Xenopus tropicalis: one gene and its partner. The protein of the gene in region 1 interacts with the protein of each later gene in a biochemical or structural test. Links are inferred from orthologs where the notes say so. Each region holds a gene or a part of one and is shown on either strand. Other genes may lie near its edges.

Evidence for each region.
Region 2: the proteins of smarca5 (region 1) and pole3 form a complex in vitro, tested with the Homo sapiens proteins (2 studies listed by BioGRID). The link is inferred for Xenopus tropicalis from reciprocal best matches to the Homo sapiens genes SMARCA5 and POLE3.

The regions. Positions count from the first base shown.
Region 1 is NC_030677.2:59,224,459-59,228,271, reverse strand, and holds part of smarca5 (SWI/SNF-related matrix-associated actin-dependent regulator of chromatin subfamily A member 5), read left to right. Parts: intron 1-617; coding exon 618-766; intron 767-957; coding exon 958-1,077; intron 1,078-1,336; coding exon 1,337-1,447; intron 1,448-1,967; coding exon 1,968-2,081; intron 2,082-2,697; coding exon 2,698-2,820; intron 2,821-3,038; coding exon 3,039-3,171; intron 3,172-3,434; coding exon 3,435-3,553; intron 3,554-3,813. UniProt on the Homo sapiens protein: ATPase that possesses intrinsic ATP-dependent nucleosome-remodeling activity.
Region 2 is NC_030684.2:2,369,649-2,374,105, forward strand, and holds the start of pole3 (DNA polymerase epsilon subunit 3), read left to right. Parts: upstream 1-1,510; 5' UTR 1,511-1,554; intron 1,555-3,814; 5' UTR 3,815-3,829; coding exon 3,830-3,895; intron 3,896-4,287; coding exon 4,288-4,373; intron 4,374-4,457. UniProt on the Homo sapiens protein: Accessory component of the DNA polymerase epsilon complex. Participates in DNA repair and in chromosomal DNA replication.

The DNA of each region.
Region 1 (3,813 bases):
ACTCTGCCTGCCCTATGCTGCCTGCGTGTGCCTTACTCTGCCTACCCTATGCTGCCTGCATGTGCCATACTCTGCCTGCCTTATGCTGCCTGTGTGTGCCTTACTCTGCCTACCCTATGCTGCCTGTTAGAGGTAAACCTGGCAGGGGTTTATTCTGGAAGTTTGTTAGCATTTGGAAATAGTAATATATGGTCCCTAAGATGTGTAATTTTATACTGGGGGATGCTGTGCTATCCACAGGTGAGGAGGAGGCATATGGATTTAAGGGTGTGTCGTAAATATTATAATTCTTTCACATATGAATGAAGGGTGATATCCCTACATCATTTGGGTTTTTGCTGCACTAACACCCTTACTGTTAGAAGCTCTTGTGATGGGTGTGGTTGGAAGTGTTTGTGGTTTTAAAAAAAAAAAAAAAAAAAAGGGGGGGGGTGGTCAAAACTGACTTCCATTATCGGCCCTTTGTACCACAGAAATTGGACAACACTGGTCTAGATATTTGAGTCATTCACAGGAATGACTCCAGATATTTTTATGGTTGTATCAATGGTGTGGGGTTTTTTTTTTTTTTTTTTTGCTTAATGTTTTACTGACTAACCTTTTTCCATATATTTCAGGTAGATTAGTGGACCAAAACCTAAATAAATTAGGGAAGGACGAAATGCTTCAAATGATTCGACATGGTGCTACTCATGTATTTGCATCAAAGGATAGTGAAATCACAGAGGAAGACATTAATGCAATCTTGGAGAGAGGGGAGAAGAAGGTACATTTTTATAGGCCTTTAACACTGAAGAGACATACAGAATCTCTCTGAACAAACTGTTACCCAGGATATTGTAATATATGCTAGCAATAGGATACCATTGGCACACCAGATGTTAGCATTTTTGAGTTGTTATGCAACAGTATACATTATTCCATTACTTTTTTTGCATTTTCTTTTTTTCCTTTAAGACTGCAGAAATGAATGAGAAACTCTCAAACATGGGTGAAAGTTCCCTTAGAAACTTCACGGTGGATAATGAATCCAGTGTTTATAACTTTGAAGGTGAAGATTACAGAGAAAAGCAAAAGGTGAGTCATATTTTCCATAGGTGTGTATTTAGTCTTACGGGCTTCTATAATTGGCTTCTTGCTTAATATGAGCTTCAGAAAATATGGGTGTTATCTAAAGATGCTAAGATTGTATAAAGTATGATAAACAATTAACTACAAAGATAATTAAAATTACTCCTTGAGTACCATAAAAATTTCCATGATTTTAAAAAAGTTAAAAACTATTCAAGTTAAGCATTATGGGAATCCTAACTTTCTTTCTGATATTAACTTATAGATGGCATTTACAGAGTGGATTGAACCACCGAAAAGGGAACGAAAAGCTAATTACGCGGTAGATGCGTATTTCCGCGAAGCACTCCGTGTTAGCGAGCCAAAAGTACCAAAGGTGAGTAGCTGAGTGCTACAGCAGTACTGGATGCAGTGAGAGGGATCACTAATTACTTTAGATCTGGAAATGGTATTTTTGGGTAGGGCTACAAAAGTCCAAAGCTGTATTTGGGGGTAATTGATTCAGCATTGTCATATATGGTATTGCTGTTTCAAGTACATGAGTTGTATTTGTCATAAGTCTGTGAGACCTTGGGATGGGAGGGTAAGTTGAAAATATACTGCTTAAAGTAATGCAGATATTTGCTGCAGGGGTAGATGATGGTTACTAATGTTACAAGATTTAGATCTTTAAACGCATCTCTAGAGGTGTGAAATATTGCGCTAATTAGAAAAGTTCATGCTAAGCTGCTCCTTGCTGATGTAAAGAATTGTCTGCCATATAAACTACAGAAGCTCATTCTAGTTTCCATCTCTATATGTAATTATCTGTATAGTGGAGACATGAGCTTGAAAAGAAAAATGTTGGTTCCCTTACTGTGCAGCTTATGTCATGTAAATAATATTATGTCTTATAGGCTCCCAGACCCCCAAAACAGCCAAATGTTCAAGATTTTCAGTTTTTCCCTCCACGTCTATTTGAGTTATTGGAAAAAGAAATTCTCTATTACAGGAAAACAATTGGCTACAAGGTAAGTTCTCATTTCTAAATTAAATGTGATAAGTGCCAATTTGTTTTGCAAGGTTCCTATTAAGTCTTTTCTCTGCAGCTAAAGCCATAGCTGTTATTGTAGTGTTTGGTTGGTAGTATGCAGGTTCCATTGTGCACACATTACTTGTATTGCGGCACACAAAATAAATGTTTTGTAAACCAATGCATATCTGCTTCAGGCCTAGCCTTCTCTTACGCATGTTTGGGTGAAACGACCTCCAGCATACCTACTTTCTCTTGCATGTAGGATAGTCCTTCCCAACAGGCAATGATAATGAATTATAGAAACATTTCTCATTTGATATATAGTGAATTTGCAGGAGCTCAATAAGGTGGTTTGCTTGATTACAAAAACAAAGAGAAGACAATTGGCAAAGGAAGTCAATATGCAATTCAGAGTTATGCAGGGATGCCAGATTGCAAAACAAGATACATTCCATGCACTTTCAGTTTGTAGATGATTTGCTTTACCCCCATTATTCCTAAATCAGAAAATGTTTTTTGAAATGCCAGAGAAATTAATTTTGCCATCTGCTCAAACCACTTGCTGTTTTATGCATATTGATATGACAATTATTTTTTCTTGCTTATTTTAGGTACCACGTAATCCTGATCTGCCAAATGCAGCACAAGCACAAAAGGAAGAACAACTAAAAATTGATGAGGCAGAGCCCCTCAATGATGAAGAGTTAGAGGAGAAAGAGAAATTGTTAACTCAGGTAGGAAGAAACAGTACAGTGCTTTGAAGAGAAACTGCATTTTTAATATGGACAGGATGAAAGTTTGATTAGCGTTGATAAGGTAGATGGTGTATGTAGGGTTTGAGACCAAAAAGCTTGTTGTTTTTAGCCTGTACAGTTCTGTTGCCTGTAGACGTACATTCAAGCATGTTCAGATTCTGGAAGAGTTATGTATGTTTTCCTCTCATGACTTTCAGGGTTTCACAAACTGGAATAAGAGAGATTTCAACCAGTTTATTAAGGCTAATGAGAAATGGGGTCGTGATGATATTGAAAATATTGCGCGGGAAGTGGAAGGCAAGACACCAGAGGAAGTCATTGAGTATTCAGGTAATCCTTTCATTGTAGACACAAATGTTTTTAATTGCTAAATAAACTAGTACAGTATTGTGGATATTCACTGGAAGACCTTCCTAAGCTTAATATGCATTTAGCTTCTGCTTTCACATACTTTTTATTTATTTATTCTCAGGCTCCTGGGCAAGTATTTGCTATGAGACCTATAAAGTCATATTGCTACCTATAACTCTGTACTCAGAAGCCTGTAGTTTCTTTTTATTGTTCCAAGTAACAATTTAATTTTTTTCATTTAGCGGTCTTCTGGGAAAGGTGCAATGAGCTTCAAGATATCGAGAAGATAATGGCTCAAATAGAAAGGGGAGAAGCGAGGATACAGAGGAGGATTAGCATAAAGAAAGCTCTAGACACAAAGGTACCATTGGTATTTGCACACAGTTTAGACTGACGCTTTATTTTTTGCTTAAATTGCTGTGCACATTAAACCCTGCCAGTAGATCCACACACACACACACTAAGGTACAGAGTTATTTACATGCAGGCCTGCTATTAGAAACTCGTGTGGCTTTGAAGAAGAAAATCTGTACCGATTTTATGAAAACAAATTCTATGCAGTTTTAGTCCCCCTTCACTTTACTTGCTCTCACTGCTGCAGATAAATCTTTAGATGGCAGC
Region 2 (4,457 bases), on another chromosome or scaffold:
AGTGACAGTTACACATAACTAATAACCCAGTGAGAATGAGGAATGAATGGGTATTGGGGAGTTGTATCAGGAGTCAGAACCAGCAGTGCAGGGAAGGGAAAGGGACAGACACAGTGACAGTTACACATAACTATAACCCAGTGAGAATGAGGAATGAATGGTATTGGGGAGTTGTATCAGGAGTCCAGAACCAGCAGTGCAGGGAAGGGAAAGGGACAGACACAGTGACAGTTACACATAACTATAAACCCAGTGAGAATGAGGGATGAATGGGTATTGGGGAGTTGTATCAGGAGTCAGAACCAGCAGTGCAGGGAAGGGAAAGGGACAGACACAGTGACAGTTACACATAACTATAAACCCAGTGAAGAATGAGGGATGAATGGATATTGGGGGAGTTGTATCAGGAGTCAGAACCAGCAGTGCAGGGAAGGGAAAGGGACAGACACAGTGACAGTTACACATAACTATAAACCCAGTGAGAATGAGGAATGAATGGATATTGGGGAGTTGTATCAGGAGTCAGAACCAGCAGTGCAGGGAAGGGAAAGGGACAGACACAGTGACAGTTACACATAACTATAAACCCAGTGAGAATGAGGAATGAATGGGTATTGGGGAGTTGTATCAGGAGTCAGAACCAGCAGTGCAGGGAAAGGAACAGACACAGTGACAGTTACACATAACTATAAACCCAGTGAGAATGAGGAATGAATGGATATTGGGGAGTTGTATCAGGAGTCAGAACCAGCAGTGCAGGGAAGGGAATGAGGAATGAATGGATATTTGGGTGTAGGACACACATAAGGAGTCATGTGACACAAATGACATCACCAAGCACAGATTATAACAGATGACGTCAGTAATATTATATCATTACATTTCAGTAGGGATAATAATCACGTCTAAACCCTCCCCTGAAATCGGGCCCCCAGATCTTTTAACCCTTCATTGCTATAAAGGGATGTGGGAGTTGCAGTCCAATCACGGTTAGTAAGAGTAAAGGGGAAGCAAAGCCTTAGGAACATATTTTGTGTTATTTAACCATCAGGTGTCACATGACTGAGACCCTTACGGGAACAGACCCCCTGTCAGCATCAGACACTGCTCATTCACCCCAATATCTTCCTGCCCCGATTGCGCAAATACAAAAAAAAACTTACCCTCTCCCGGTTACCATAACAACAAAAGACGCTTCCGGGAACATTCCCAAGCAATATGGCTGCCGTGTATTCCAAGCCTCGTTCTCGCAATGAAAGTTCTGCTGAGTGGTTATGAGGCTTGGTACGCGCAAGGCATTCCCGTTACTAAAACCCTCCTCTGTTCAGGTGACACAGAGCAATGGCGGCCCCTTTATTTTGTAAGGTGGAACGCAAGGCGTTAGGAGCGACTGTTGGAACGCAAGCCGGGGGGGGGGTTTGCGTTCCAATAGGGGTTCCGAGGGGCGGGGCTTCTGAGCCACGTGGTGCTGGTAAAGGTTCGGCTGGAAGGCGGGAAGTGGAGAAGGAGGAAGAGCGCGTCTGGTTATTGTTCCTGTCAGTGAGGGGCCCTGAGGTACAGTATGGGGGGGGGGGTGTATCATGGGGCTGGTGGGCCTGTGCGGGGGTCGGTGGGTGCCCAGCTCATCACTCTAACTTTAGGGCTCAGTAACCTGCCCTGTGGTGTTGGACTACAGCTCCCAGCTACTCTCTTTCCCTGCTGTATATTACTCCTGTTCCTGCCCCTCTCCTACCCAGGTACCGCCCCTCCCCTCCCCAGGTGCCGCCCCTCCCCTCCCCAGGTACCGCCCCTCCCCTCCCCAGGTACCGCCCCTCTCCTCCCCAGGTACCGCCCCCCTCTCCTCCCCAGGTACCGCCCTCCCTCCCCACGTACGCCCCCCCTTTCCCCCCTCCCAGGTGCCGCCCCTCCCTCCCCAGGTACGCCCCCCTCTCCTCCCCATGGTAACCGCCCTTCTCCTCCCCACGGTGCCCCGCCCCTCCCCTCCCCAGGTTGCCGCCCCTCCCCTCCCCAGGTACCGCCCTCCCTCCCCCAGGTACGCCCCTCTCCTCCCCAGGTACGCCCCTCCCCTCCCCAGGTCCCCGGCCCCTCCCTCCCCCAGGTACCGCCCCTCCCTCCCCAGGTACCGCCCCCTCCCCCAGGTACCGCCCCTCCCTCCCAGGTAACCCCGCCCCTCCCCTCCCCAGGTGGCCGCCCCCTCCCCCCAGGTGCCGCCCCCCCCTCCCCAGGTGCCGCCCCTCCCCTCCCCAGGTACCGCCCCTCCCCTCCCCAGGTGGCCGCCCCTACCCCTCCCAGGTGCCGCCCCCTCCTCCCAGGTACCGCCCCTCCCCTTCCCCAGGTCCGCCCCCCCCCCGCCCCTCCCCTCCCCAGGTGCCGCCCTCCCTCCCAGGTACCGCTCCTCCTCCCCAGGTACCGCCCCTCTCCTCCCCAGGTAACCGCCCCTCTCCTCCCCAGGTACCGCCCCTCCCCTCCCCAGGTACCGCCCCTCCGCCTCCCCAGGTACCGGCCCTCCCTCCCCAGGTACCGCCCCTCCTCCCGCAGGTACCCGCCCCTCTCCTCCCCAGGTTACGCCCCTCTCCTCCCCAGGTAACCCCCTGCCCTCCCCAGGTACCGCCCTCCCCTCCCCAGGTACCGCCCGCTCCCTCCCAGGTCCGCCCCTCCCTCCCCAGGTGCCGCCCTCTCCTCCCCAGGTACGCGCCCTCTCCTCCCCAGGTGCCGCCCCTCCGCCTCCCCAGGTACCGCCCCTCTCCTCCCCAGGTACGCCCCCTCCCCAGGTGCCGCCCCTCTCCTCCCAGGTACCGCCCGCTCCTCCAGGTACGCCAGCGCCCCGCTCCTGCCCAGGTACTGCCCTACTCCACTTATACCCAGGTCCTGCCCCGCTCCTGCCCAGGTCCTGCCCCTCTCCTCCCCAGGCACTGCCCCGCTCCTGCCCAGGTCCTGCCCCTCTCCTCCCCAGGCACTGCCCCACTCCTCCCCAGGCACTGCCCCTCTCCTCCCCAGGCACTGCCCCTCTCCTCCCCAGGCACTGCCCCTCTCCTCCCCAGGTACCGCCCCTCTCCTCCCCAGGTACCGCCCCGCTCCTCCCCAGGCACCGCCCCTCTCCTCCCCAGGCACCGCCCCTCTCCTCCCCAGGCACCGCCCCTCTCCTCCCCAGGCACTGCCCCTCTCCTCCCAGGCACTGCCCCTCTCCTCCCCAGGTACTGCCCCGCTCCTCCCCAGGCACTGCCCCGCTCCTCCCCAGGCACTGCCCCACTCCTCCCCAGGCACTGCCCCACTCCTCCCCAGGCACTGCCCCTCTCCTCCCCAGGCACTGCCCCACTCCTCCCCAGGCACTGCCCCGCTCCTCCCCAGGTACTGCCCCTCTCCTGCCCAGGTACTGCCCCTCTCCTGCCCAGGTCCTGCCCTGCCCAGGTCCTGCCCCGCCCCTGCCCAGGTCCTGCCCTACCCCACTTATACCCAGGCACTGCCCCGCTCCTGCCCAGGTACTGCCCTACCCCACTTATACCCAGGTACTGCCCCGCTACTGCCCAGGCACTGCCCTACTCCACTTATACCCAGGCACTGCCCCGCCCCTGCCCAGGTCCTGCCCTACCCCACTTATACCCAGGCACTGCCCCGCTACTGCCCAGGCACTGCCCTACTCCACTTATACCCAGGTCCTGCCCTGCTCCTGCCCAGGTACTGCCCTACCCAGGCACTGCCCTACTCCACTTATACCCAGGTCCTGCCCCGCTCCTGCCCAGGCACTGTCCTGCTTATATCCACTTACTGCCCTGCCCATACCCAGGTACTGACCTGTCCCTTTCCTGCCTTCCAGTTGTAGCTGAGCAGAATGGCCGAGAGACCGGAAGATCTGAACTTGCCCAACGCTGTGGTCACGCGGATCATTAAGGAAGCTGTAAGTGAAGTGTTAGCTGTTGGGTTTCCGCTGTTGTTCAGATGGGTCTGCCATGTTCTACACCCTTACAATAGGACTCCACTAACAGAACTCCTGATCCAGTTGGCACTACTGGGTTCCCTCCCACAGCCCAAATACACACACAGGCAGCTCATTGGCCCCTGATAAAACTGCCCCTGTATGTGTGTAATAAGGACCTTAGATTGTAAGCTCCATGTGGCAGGGGCTGATGTTTAATCTCTGCATGGAGCTGCTATACATGTTGTGTGTATATATATATATATATAGCAGCTTGTAGTGTCATGTGATGCAACTCCCTAGGGCTGTAGGGTCTCATCACCAAACCAACTTCCTAAATGCTCCCAACTAATGCTGATTGTCTTCTCTTCCAGCTCCCAGAAGGGGTTAATATCTCCAAAGAAGCACGGAGCGCAATATCCCGGGCGGCCAGTGTCTTTGTATTGTATGCGACATCTTGGTAAGGGTCCCAGGGGTACTCTGTACTGTCATAGGGAAACACTATGGCACCCCCTACCCATATGTATAAATACAAATATACAGA